Linked DNA regions of Caenorhabditis elegans. The protein of the gene in region 2 purifies or fractionates together with the protein of the main gene of each other region. This does not show direct contact. Each region holds a gene or a part of one and is shown on either strand. Other genes may lie near its edges. The genes, in order: vang-1 and mig-1.

Region 1 (7,518 bases), on a different chromosome or scaffold from region 2:
TTTGGGTCTCGATCGTCCAGTTTTTTGAAGTGTCATCTTCAACACAACCTTCAAAAGTCGAAAGCTATCAAAATGTTCGCGCAGATACTCCGTCAGATTATTTTCTTCAATCTAATTGTCACAATCGTCTCGTCAATGAGTCTTCTCGATGCCTACAGATCTGAGAAATTGACGCGACGTCGGATAGGAATGCAAAACACTGATTTCCGTCCGATTCTTCATTTGCGCGGAGAAGATGATTGGGTAAGTCAATACTTTTCAATTTTTTAGATTTGAATCGGTTTTCACCAATACTGTTTTCAGCAAAAACAAATCAATGACAACTTCTCGCCCAACCAGTTCATGGATGAGAACGGTATTGTATATGATATGGATCCCACGATCAACGACAGAATTTCCACGTTTTTCAATAGTCAGAGAATCACCAGCAGTAGATTTGGAAGGAAGAAGAGAAGCTTGATGTTCCCGAGACTTTTTGTGTAATCCAACTTAAAACTATCTTGTTCGCATTTTTTTTCATATATCCGTTTCCTTCATTTTTCATAGCGTACTCTCGATTTGACATGTTCTCTCTAGTGATGTGTTACGGGTATTTCCTGATGTACATCTAATCAACATGCTAAGTCAGTCACACTCAAACAAATATACCACCTCTGATCTCATAAAAATGATTTTTCTTTCCATGATGTATTTTTTTTCTTTTTTTAAAATCAAATATACATAATAAATAATCACTTTTTTATTAAGAAAAACTTAAACTTGAATAAATTATTCATATCATATTGAAAAGGTACCAGACCATAAGTCAATGTGAAGAAACTTAAAGAAAAATAAATACTCGAAGAAGTAAGTGACGCAGCGCGATAGAGATGTCAAATGTCAGTCATTATCATCTCGGTCAGATGAGGAACCCGTACATAGAAACAGCATGATGTAGAATAAAAGTTGAAGAAAAGAAGCTAACAGGTAAAAAAAATTTTTTAAAAAACTGATCAAATCAAATGGGCATTTTTTTGGAAGTTTACTTGATGGCATGATGACTAGCCCACAAATCAAACTGCCGACTCATTGCTAATTTTTAAGGAAAACTTTTCATTTCCAGGTTTGGCTTGCTCGGTCAAATTGAAGAACGGAATACTCGAGATGGTGCAAACAAGTTGAACTCCGCAGTCGATATCCTGAAAAAAGGTAATATTAAACGGTTTAGCAAGTCTGAGAAGTAACTGTTTTTTTTTCGAGCGAAGTTTGAGTGAATCTTTTCAAAAATTTTAAAAATTTTGATGGCGGTTTCAAATTTTGCTTGAGATGTACCTAAGTCAACAAAATAGCGTAAGATAACTTACCGAAATTTGCAATATAAAATCATTCAAAGGTACATGGGTTTAGCAGAATAAAATGATAAAAATTTGTTGCCAATCGGCTTTAAATAATGCAGAAATACCAATTTTCGGATTTTATTCGTAATATTTTTTGTTAAAGTGTTTTTGTAATGCTCTTGCAACCCTACCGACCGATCAAGCATTTTTTTTTGAATGCAAAACTACTGGAGGAAATATGGGACATACTACTGCTATGGTGCCAAAAATGCCAAATATAACAGAAAAACGTTTCGAACAAAATTGAATTATTTTTTCAAAAAGTGACAATTACTCAGTTTTGCCACTCATAATGTTGGAAGTAGATTTAAAAAGTTGTTTCTACTATTTTGTTTACTTCAATTTTGTTTTAAACATTTGTGTTCGAACTTTGTAAGTGTCCGAACATGCGAAATTGCTCTACATTTTTTTAATGCTTAGACTTTTCAAAAATTTGGCACTTTGCCAATACGTTGTAAAATTCAAAAAATCTTTAAAAAATTTTGGAGTGTTTAATTATGATATTCGGTCGTTTTAAATGTGTATTTAGCTTCAACATTAACTTTTCAAAATCTTACTGGGTTGTGCGATTTGAGCACTAGATACGTTCCGTGTTGAACTCCAGAGCTCACCGCCTCGTCGCAAATTACCGACCATTTCGATTCCCCGACAATTTCCCGTTGGGGAATACGGTCACTGAAGAAGCGTTGGAGAAATGTTCGATGAGACAACTTGAGTGTTAGGCATCTGAAATTTGAAAGCTTAATCTTTGAATTCTGTTTATTAAAAAAAACGTACCTTTCAATGTGCCTCGTAACTTCTCCTGAAGGATGTCTTGACTGAAGACGAGTAGTTTTTAAATATTTGGTGAGCGGCCGGACAATCCATGTGAATACGTTTTGAGCAGCGGTCAGTGAGTCCATCTGGTTGTTAATTCCAGGCTTTTGGTTCGTTCCGGACTCGGCAGTGTTCTGAACATGGGAGAATGCGTCTTCGGCGGCGGCAATTAGGCGATACCTGTAAAGATTTTATGAGTTTCGAAAAGAGGCCATTTTTAAAAGCTTTGAACCGCCATAATTTTTTTTGAACAATTTTCAGAACTTCTCAATAAAAATTTCCTTAATTTTAGGCCATTTTGTGTCCAAAAAATCATTTCGCTACCTCAACTCTAAAATATAATTCCAACAGTTGTGACAGGGAAAAGTGGACAAAATTTGAAATTATAGCTTTGAAAAAAGTAATATAATATTTAGGAAGTTGAAACAGCCGTTTAAAAAAAGTTTTAAACTTTTTTGAGAAGTTTCATTACAAAATTTGTTCAAAGTATCCAAATCGTTAGTTCTGAATTTGAAAACACTTACTTTCTCTTCTTTAACCGTTTTTCAAAATCAAGTTCTTCCTGCATCACTTCAGCATATCCACCAATCCTTCTTCTCGCCGCGGCTTCCATCAAAGCCCGCGTGTTGACTTCACTAACAGTTTCCTGCCCTCCAAATTGCTCGATATTGTACATCTTGAAGCCTGCGGTGCCTCCTTGCATTCCAGACTGCTTTGCAACCGCCGTCTGTCTGGCGTTGTCAAGGTGAATGTTGAACGAGGAGAATCGAGTTGTGTAGAAACGAAGAATCTCGGTGGCAGCTTCTTGAATTGAGCCAGCGCCAATGTTCAATGTATGCATTTCACCGTCTGGATCGCGAACAATAGTTACAATGAATTGGGCACGTAGACGACGAAGCTCGAGGAGCACAACAGAGAGATAATGTGTCCATAGAAGAGCGTCGAGCAGTGATGTGGAATAGGAAACCTGAAATTATGAATTATGATTTCACAATTTTTTTTCGAAATGATTCATAGTGAAGTCGAACAGTATACCCGCTTCTGAATTTTCGCTACAAATTATGAACTTAAAAAAAATGGTTCAACAAATAAACTGTTGCCTAAAATTTTGTCCACATGATAACACAAGTTTCAACATTTTAAAAGACTAAGTTACAGCGGCCGACACCTCGCGAGCCAATTTTTTTGCCACATCTCATGACTGTAACTCAAGAATGAACAGTTTTCATGAGCAAAGTTTTAGTAACAAATAATCCGCAAATAATTTTATATTGCATGTTATCAATCGTTTTTTCTTACGCAATCGGTAGAATTGAAAATTTCGGTTGAAAATCTGGTCATTTTTTTCAAAAATATTTTTAGGCATTTATTTTAAATAACTAATGTTTACACTTTTATTCACATTTGAACTGAAAGTTTTAGAACAATTTAACCTCCATTTTCAGAAATTGTTCACGATGAGTGCCGGCATTGCTACACCTTTAAAGGGACGTGGCAAAAAAAGGACTTACGAGGTGCCCGATGCTATATCTTTTGATTTCAATGACTTAATTTATTGAAACCTGAGTTATCAAGTAGACAACATTCTAGGTAACAGTTATGTAGTTGAATTTTAATTTTTAGGGTACCTAGCTTGTGCGCTATACTAATTTGAAACTATAAAAAAAGCCAGCAAAAAAATCCCAAAAACGCATATACTTTTGGCCACCACTGTGTTTGAAAAAAAAAACCTACGATGTACTTGTAGTTGTCGTATCTTTCAAACATTATCCTGACAATGTAAAAGAGCCAAAACGCGAACAGGATAAACATGACTAAAAATGTAAGCGCAGCTCGTACAAAGTACAACCTGGGCATGTCTGCCATGGCTTTCCTCCAATAAAGAACTCCAATTGCAATTACCAAAAAGATTGTTTTGATTGCCATTAAAAACAGGAGTCCTTCACAATCGACCTGCAATACATTATATTTTTAATGCGATATAATTGGTTTTCGAAATACTCACGTCACATTGAATTGCCGGCATGCTGAAGCCGAAACGTGGTGCGATTATAGGCAATGAACACATTATCGGCGCACTGACCACCGATATAATGCAAAGTAACGACGAGGCCAACAGCCAGACAAACCTAGAGCACCTGAATTTCAATAGTTATAAAAAGTGAAATTAGAAAAAAAGAACATTTACCGTCTTCCTATGACACGTCCAATTGGTGGGGTATAAATCACTTTTTCTTCCATTGTGAAAGAATCCGTCGTCATTCCAGTGAGCACGGTGGTGTTGTCTGCCCAGTCTTCGTTAGGTGGTGCAATCTTCTGGCCCTGCAAATGAATTATAGATGTACTCAAAAATAGATTTTCCAAAAGTGAAAACGCAAAGCGATAAGATATGTATATCGACTCGGCGTTTATGACATTTTAAATTTTAGATAAGATATTTGGTCGGCTTATATCTTATTTTGACACATCTGAACAAAGAATTTAAGGAGTTTCAGAAACTGAATTAAAAACGAATTTCGTAATAAAACTTCTAAAAAATATTTATGGGAGGTTCAATATTTCGAAAAAAAAGACGAATTTTTTTAAAAAATTCTCAAATTTTGGCCACGTTTCCGTGACACAGCAGTTTTTTTGTTTTTTTTTATTGAATATTTTGGTTGTTTATCTCACGGTATTTCATTTATTTATGTTTTTTAAAAACTTTACCAAATCTCTTCGTTCATCGCCTTTAAAATAATTAAATAAAGTTGAAAACGCAGGATAATTACATTGTATACTCAAAATTTTACGGAAATTTCAAAAAAAAAGATTCCAGCCGCAACGACATTGACGAGTAGGACAAATTTCAAATTTTAACTAATTTCAGGCCTACTTTTTAAGGAACTTTTTAAGCGAATAGATAATCAAAAATTACCTGAATTGGTTACCTACTGGCATAAAAATTGCCTGCTCAAAATGTGAAAAAATTAACCCTTTCTTTAAATTTTAAACCGACTAAAAACATTTTGAACACTGTTGAGAAGTTTCATTACAAAAAAAATGTGTTCATTTTGAGCACATATTGGTACCCAGAGCCGTTACTCCTCATTTAATTGAGTTTCATTTTAAAATGTATCTTCAAAAAAAAGGCTTACCTCACTAGCAATTGCAGAAAACCTCGGTATAAATGGCTCGCCAATTTCAGATTGTGCATATCTTGGTCGTAGTTGCTTCTTGTGTCCTTCATACCGAAAACCTCCAACGCAACTCCTCGTGTCTTTCGGAAGTTTCCTGTTATCTTGATACGACATGTTCCACCTGAAAAAAAAAATCTCTCCAAAAATTTTGATCCATTGAAAAGAATGAGATTTATAACATATTATATTTCATGTAACAAAAAAAATCCGAACGGAACGATAGATTGGCAAAGACAATTTGTGAAAAGAGATAAAACGAGCCCTTCGGGTTGCGCACACGCCGTCATAACATTTTCGTTCCACACACACACACACAACCGCAAGTAAACGATCCATCCACGATCAATGACAAACGAGTGGACGGAAAAGAGGGGACCCCGAAAAGAAAATAACCTCTAACACATTATGCAGCGTCCTCCTCTTTCTCCTTCCACTGCTTGCCCCAGCGCAACCCATTCGGCCAGTGTGTGCGTATGTGTGGTGTGGTCAGAGGCGAGCGGGGAATGGGAAGAGGAATGGTGAGTGAGCGTGCGTGTGTGTGTGTGTGTGTGTCTACTACTATCCGCTAGGCCGCACCAGATGCGGGGCTTTTCGAAAAACGGACCCCCGGACCGGAGCATCTTTCTTGTCACCCCTTGGAGCCGGTTTTCATCTCCCAATGGTCGTCAATTACATGCGACACTCATTGGTGATTTCAAAGAGCGGATTTGGGTAGAAGAAAACCGAAAAGTAAGATTTAGCTGACGGGCTCCTTATTTTGTGACGAAACATGTATCTATTTTAGGTACTTGTGTAATATACCTAGCTCAAAAATATGTTTCAATACGTTTTCCATTCATTTCTTTTAAAAATTACAATTTAAACAAAACGTGAAATTGATTTGTATTCTTAGGTTTAGAAAAACATTAATCCTTATGGACATAGTATAGAACATAATTACGTAAAATTTTCAAAATGATTAATATTTTAAATCCAGGTATACTTTCACAAGTACCGCATTTTAGATAGCTGAGAAAATCATAAAATAAGAAAATATGGCAACCTGGCAAGATATAAAGCTTTAGGACTATTGAAAAAGTTGAATTCTAAACAGCTCGGTACAATAAAATTAGCATCAATCCGTCAAGAGGTGAACGAAAAATGGAAAGACGACAAATCAGGGGTGTGCAGTAACAAAGATGAGTGGGGTGAAAATGGTGTGAGAGGCGAAGGTGTGCGCGCGCAGACACACCACTCCAAAGAACCACAACGGTTACGTAGATAACACAACAGTAGTGCAAATGGTAATTTCATTGGAGCACATTTGCAAGTGTAAGTGAAAATTGGGATCTATGCATCGATTGTTTAGTGTGACAATCGAAAGGTGCTAGAATGCTTCAACCGTAATTTTGTCAACGTTTTGTTGTTCTAATATTTATTTTTTGGTACTTGTGTAGCAGGAGCAAGCGACAAATTTGCCGAATTTGTCAAGTTCACCATTTGCCAAGCTCGGCAAATTTCAAAACAGTATGTTTGGGGAATTTGCCGAGCTCGGCAAATTTCGAAATTTTCCGCACACATCAAAAGTTTGAAAAACAATTTTGACTAAAACTACTGATTTTGACCTCAAAAATTTCAAAAAAATGACACACAAACTCACGGAACTTATGCAGAAACCAGATGTTTTTTCTGAACGCAGTAGTTTTGGTATGGAATAAATTGAAAAAATTCAACAACTCATTTCTAATGTATAACTTTGTTAAATCACAAAGAAACACTTTTTTTTCAAAAATTTTGTTATGTCTCTAATATGAAATATAGCATAAATAGGTATACATTTGTCAGAAGTTTGTATTCAAGAGTAAAAAAAGCCCCTCAGGGAAGGCAAATATCATAGTGAAAAACTCTAAAATGGCGGAATTGAAATTACCGGCAAATGGGCATACCAAAAAACTGCCAATTTGCCAAATTTGCGCGCAACCTCGGCACTTGCCGTAAGTTTTTGGCAAATTGTGGTTTTGCACATTTTTTTTTTAATTTCAGCATTTCAATTTCAGCCGGCAAAATTGTATGGATCCTATAAATGTTCCTACATCAATTTTGAAAAGTAAGCTAATTCTTTTTAAAAATATCTTTTAAAAAAGGAAAAAATTCAAAAAAACACAGTTTTA
Region 2 (4,934 bases):
AAATTTGTTGAAAACGGGTAATTCATATATGCTGAATTCAGAAAATCTAGATTTAACCTATCAAAAACTATTGAAAAGTGGCAAAAATGGGTAACTTTTGAAAAAAATCACAATTTTGCGGAACTAAGCAGGGACTTTTTTGTTTTTGTGTAGAAGAAAAAACATTACCAGTTCAAAAAGTATTTGAGCACCAGTCTCGCCTATTTAGCTTATTTGACCTATTTGGCCTGTTTACCTATTCAACCTATACTGCCTATTTGGCATATTTAATCTACTTGGCCTATTTGCCTATTAGGCCTATTTGGGCCTATTGTAGAACAGTTTTAAAAATTGACTAAAAAGCTTAAAAAACACCAATCATTTCCCTCCAGTGTTCCAAAATTTGTTCATCGCAAGAAAGTTCCATCTTGTTTCTTCTGGTTATCTACACTCCCCAACAAAGTTACACAATGTGCACTTTTGGCTCGTTTGGTTCAATTGTTTCTGCCGGAAACGGGCGGAGGAAGAGATTCATACTTTTTTCCCAAGAAAAATTGAATTTCATTTTTCAAATTGTGAAATCATGTTAGGCCCTTTTCTCGGTCCTAATCAGGGGTGTGCGACAAATCTCAAAATTAGCCGTGCTCGGCTAATTCGGCAAATTTGGCAAATTTGCCGTGCTTAACAAATTCGGAAAAATTTGATATTTTTTGATGTTGTTTGGAGCACCGAAACTAATGAATTCTTAAAACAAATTTGTGTCGTTTTACTGAATTTTTGGAAAAAAATCAACAGGAGCTCGGCATCGGCACATTCGGCAAATTCGGCAAATTCGGCAAATCTCCTTTTTTGAAATATGCCGTGCTCGGCAAACTCGGCAAATTCGGCAAACGGCAAAATTGGCAAATTCGGCAAATCTACTTTTTTTGAAATATTCCGAGCTCGGCAAATTCAGCAAATCTACTTTTTTGAAAAATGCCGAGCTCGGCAAGTTCAGCAAATCTACTTTTTTGAAATATTCCGAGCTCGGCAAATTCAGCAAATCTACTTTTTTGAAAAATGCCGAGCTCGGCAAGTTCAGCAAATCTACTTTTTTGAAATATGCCAAGCTCGGGAAATTCGGCAAATCTACTTTTGTGAACTATGCCGTGCTCGGCTAAATAGGCAAATTTGCCGAGCTCGGCAAGTTCAGCAAATCTACTTTTTTGAAATATGCCAAGCTCGGGAAATTCGGCAAATTCGGCAAATCTACTGTTTTGAAATATGCCGTGCTCGGCTAAATAGGCAAATTTGCCGAACTCGGCAAACTCGGCAAATTCGGCAAATTCAGCAAATCTACTTTTTTGAAATATGCCGAGCTCGGCAAATTCGGCAAATCTACTTTTTTGAAATATGCCAAGTTCGGCAAATTTGGCAAATCTACTTTTTTGAAATATGCCGAGCTTGGCAAATTCGGTAAATTGCCGAGCTCGGCAAACAGCAAATTCGGCAAAAATTCGCCGCACACCCCTGGTCCTAATAATGATGATGATTGCCGTCTCCGTCCCCGCGCTCCTCCGTTATCATCAAATGATTTGCTGCTTCGATATATTTATTACAGGGCTCGTAAAAACTTCCACCCCCCCCCCTCTCTTCCTCTTTCGCCTCTCCATCTTTCAGCTCTCTTGGTCTCTGTTTCTCTATACCATTCATACAAATATCTGATAACCGCCAGCCATCTCCCAACACACACAACAGACACTCTTCCCGCCCCCCGTCCGTTTGGGTCATTTGTCAACGGACAGGCCGTGGTGGTGCTGCCACTGGTGTGCCCCCCCCCCCCCCCCCGCCTATCCTCCGTCTTTCTTCTCATTGTTTCTTTTACTCTCAATATTTTCCCCCACCCAGGCTGTGAGCCCCCAATTCCATTATCATTAATGGGACCATTTCGTGGTTACCTCGGAGTAACCTGGCTCCTGTTGCTCTTTGTGATTGGTGTGGACGGGCAGAGGTGTCAAAAGGTGGATCATGAGATGTGCAACGATTTGCCGTATAACTTAACGAGGTGAGTGAATTTTTTTTTGTTGGATGACGGGGTTTTTTCAAAATTTACTTCAAGATGGTTTTTTATAGAAACGCTAGGTTTTTTCTCGATTTTTAAGCAAAGTAGCAAATTTTCCAAATTATAGTTTTATATAGTTAAACTTAAAAAAGTCGTTTTTTTTTAAAATTTTTATTGATATTAATAAGCATGTGTACAAAATTAAGGGTCTAACTAGTTAGGTCCCAACTTCCAACTAGTCCTAACTAGTCCTACCTAAGTCCTAGTAAGTCCTAAATAGGTCCTAAGTTACAGGCCATACCAAGGTTCTAATTAGGTCTTAACTTGTCCTAACTAGTCCTACCAAAGTCCTAGTAAGTCCTTATTAGGTCTTCCCTAACAGGCCGTGCCCAGGTTCTAATTAGGTTCTAATTAGGTCATGACTAGTCCTACCTAAGGCCTGGTAAGTAGGTATTCCCTAACAGACCGTACCTAGGTGCTAATTAAGTTTTAACTAGTCCTAACTAGTCCTAACTATTCGTAACAAGAAATTTAGTCCTATTCAGTCCTAATTAGGCCCTAACTTACAGGCCGTACCTAAGATCTAATTAGGTCTTAACTAGTCAACTAGTCCAAACAATATCTTAACTAGTCCTGTCTAAATCCTAGCAAATCAAGTCTTAATTAGGTCCTAACTTACAGGATATATCTAGGTTCTAATTAGATTTTAACTAGTCCTAAATATTACTAACAAGATTATAACTAGTCCTCCTAAGTCCTAGTGAGTCCAAATTAGGTACATAACTAGTCCTAACTAGTCCTAACAATAACTAAACTAGCCCTGCCTAAGTCCTAGTGAGTCCTAATTAGGCCTTAACTAACAGACCGTGCCTATGTTCTAATTAGTTCTTAACTAGTATTAACTAGTCCTACTTAAGCCCTAGTATGTCTTAATTAGGTCCTAACTTACAGGCTATACCTAGATTCTAATTAAATTTTAACTAGTCCTAACTAGTCCTAACTATATCTTAACTAGTCCTACCTAAATCCTAGTAAGTCCTAATCAGATCTTCCCTAACAGGCCGTACCTAGGTTCTAATTAGGTCTTAGCTAGTCCTAACTAGTCCTAACAAGACATTAACTAGTCTTACCTAAGTCCTAGTAAGTCCTATTTAGGTCCTGACTTACAGGCCTTACCTAGGTTCTAATTAGGTCTTAACTAGTCCTAACTAGTACTTACTTCACCTATTTAGTTCCTAACTTTCTAAACATTTTTACCTGTACCCAAGCAGGCCTTAAGACTTAACTGTTCCTAAATAGTTACGTCCGAACTTTCTAGATAGTCTTACCTAGGTCCCAACTAGATTTTAACTAGTACTAAATCCTTAAAATATCAGCTTTACAGATTTGAAAGCGTTTTTGATAATTTTAAAGTTCTTTAATTATTTATTATCACACCTCTTAGTTATAATAATATAAGCTTTGAAAAAACTCAATTAGGTTAGGTAGTTTAATGCCTATTTCCCCCAAATTTTTCCCAACAAATACCAGGTGTAACACTTTGGAGGCCCATCGTCTCCTTCTCCTCCAGCATCAATTATAACGATTTACGAGCCTATGCTCTTCGAGCACACACACACACACACACACACATACACATTCCGTTATTATTGCCACCTGTTTTTTGCCAGCCAGCCACGTTTTCTTAAGGTCTTGTAGGGAATTTTATTACGCATCTCATATGGGGTCACACTTTTTTTTCACTTTTTCAAAATTTCTCCTCCAATAAATCAAAAACGTTGCTTGAAATTGCAACATACGGTCGCGAGGCCATGTGGCGCGCTTTTTCACTTTTTCCCTCTCAACTTCGCCATCTGGGGGACACAGTTTACATACCCTTGGTGTAGGACACCCCTCTGACCGTAAGGGGTTACCCGCCCGGGTTCTTGTTTACATATATATATATATATATATATATATATATAGTCCTAGTGAGTTCTAATTAGGTCCTAACTTACAGGCCATACCTATGTTCTAATTAGGTCTTAGCTAGTCCTAACTAGTACTTATATATATATATATATATAAACTTGTGAAGTGGTAGGTTACGATGACGTCACTTCTCTTCCACAATTTATTTTTCTCAAGTGTAAGTCGGTTCGAGAGGGAGAGCAACTGTTCTTCTGATATATACTACCGGAGATCTAGTGATTTAGTATTATTGTTTTATGAGGGGGATGAGATTGGAGGATCTTAAGTTTGAGGCTTATTGGATTTTGTGGGAGTAATTTATTAATTTATCAGTAGAGCAAGTTTGAAAAAAAATCCCCACATTTTTTGTAGATCAAACCACCCTTGCTCTACTTTGACAGCTTATATCTCGGCTCTCTTTTGTTTTATCAAAAAATACTAACTGACAAAAAACTTGAAAAATCTTTTTCTATATTTTTATAGTTGATCATTTTTTGATATAAGCCGGGAAAATACGGACAAATTTCCATTCTCTGGCGCAAAGCAAGGCCCAAAGCCTAAAGCCTAAAGCCCAAATCCCAAATCTCAGACCTCTTGCAAAAAGCAAAATTCACAAAAAAGTCTCTCCGAACAATTGATAGGAGCAGATAGGGGATGCTCTGCGGCAGTTGGACGGGAACCTGCGTCTCCACCTCCCGCCGTGCACTCTGCCTAGGCGCGTGAAATATGGACGAGCAGATAGTATAAGCCCGTCTATATATCACTTGTCACGTCCTCAGGCTCTCCGAGCACCACAAAACGCCCCTTTCTCCAAAACAAAGAAATGAGGGGGGTATGCAACTTTGTTCTCTATTTCGAAGGAGAGGGTTTGGTGGTGTGGTGGTGGCTGGTATTAATCGGTTGGAAGGACCGGAAACCGTTTTGGAAGGAAGGAATGATGAATTTGGGAAGGTCGGCTAAGGAT

Evidence for each region.
Region 1: the proteins of mig-1 (region 2) and vang-1 purify together in Caenorhabditis elegans (affinity purification with western blotting; 2 studies listed by BioGRID). This does not show direct contact.

Annotation. Positions count from the first base shown.
Region 1 is NC_003284.9:2,883,836-2,891,353, reverse strand, and holds vang-1 (Vang-like protein), read right to left. Parts: upstream 5,497-7,518; 5' UTR 5,483-5,496; coding exon 5,327-5,482; intron 4,515-5,326; coding exon 4,381-4,514; intron 4,331-4,380; coding exon 4,198-4,330; intron 4,146-4,197; coding exon 3,927-4,145; intron 3,160-3,926; coding exon 2,717-3,159; intron 2,373-2,716; coding exon 2,154-2,372; intron 2,103-2,153; coding exon 1,934-2,102; intron 1,179-1,933; coding exon 1,053-1,178; 3' UTR 673-1,052; downstream 1-672. Other genes in the region: B0410.3 (Neuropeptide-Like Protein), read left to right, coding at 73-243, 304-483.
Region 2 is NC_003279.8:954,281-959,214, reverse strand, and holds the start of mig-1 (Frizzled-4), read left to right. Parts: upstream 1-1,708; 5' UTR 1,709-1,895; coding exon 1,896-2,023; intron 2,024-4,934.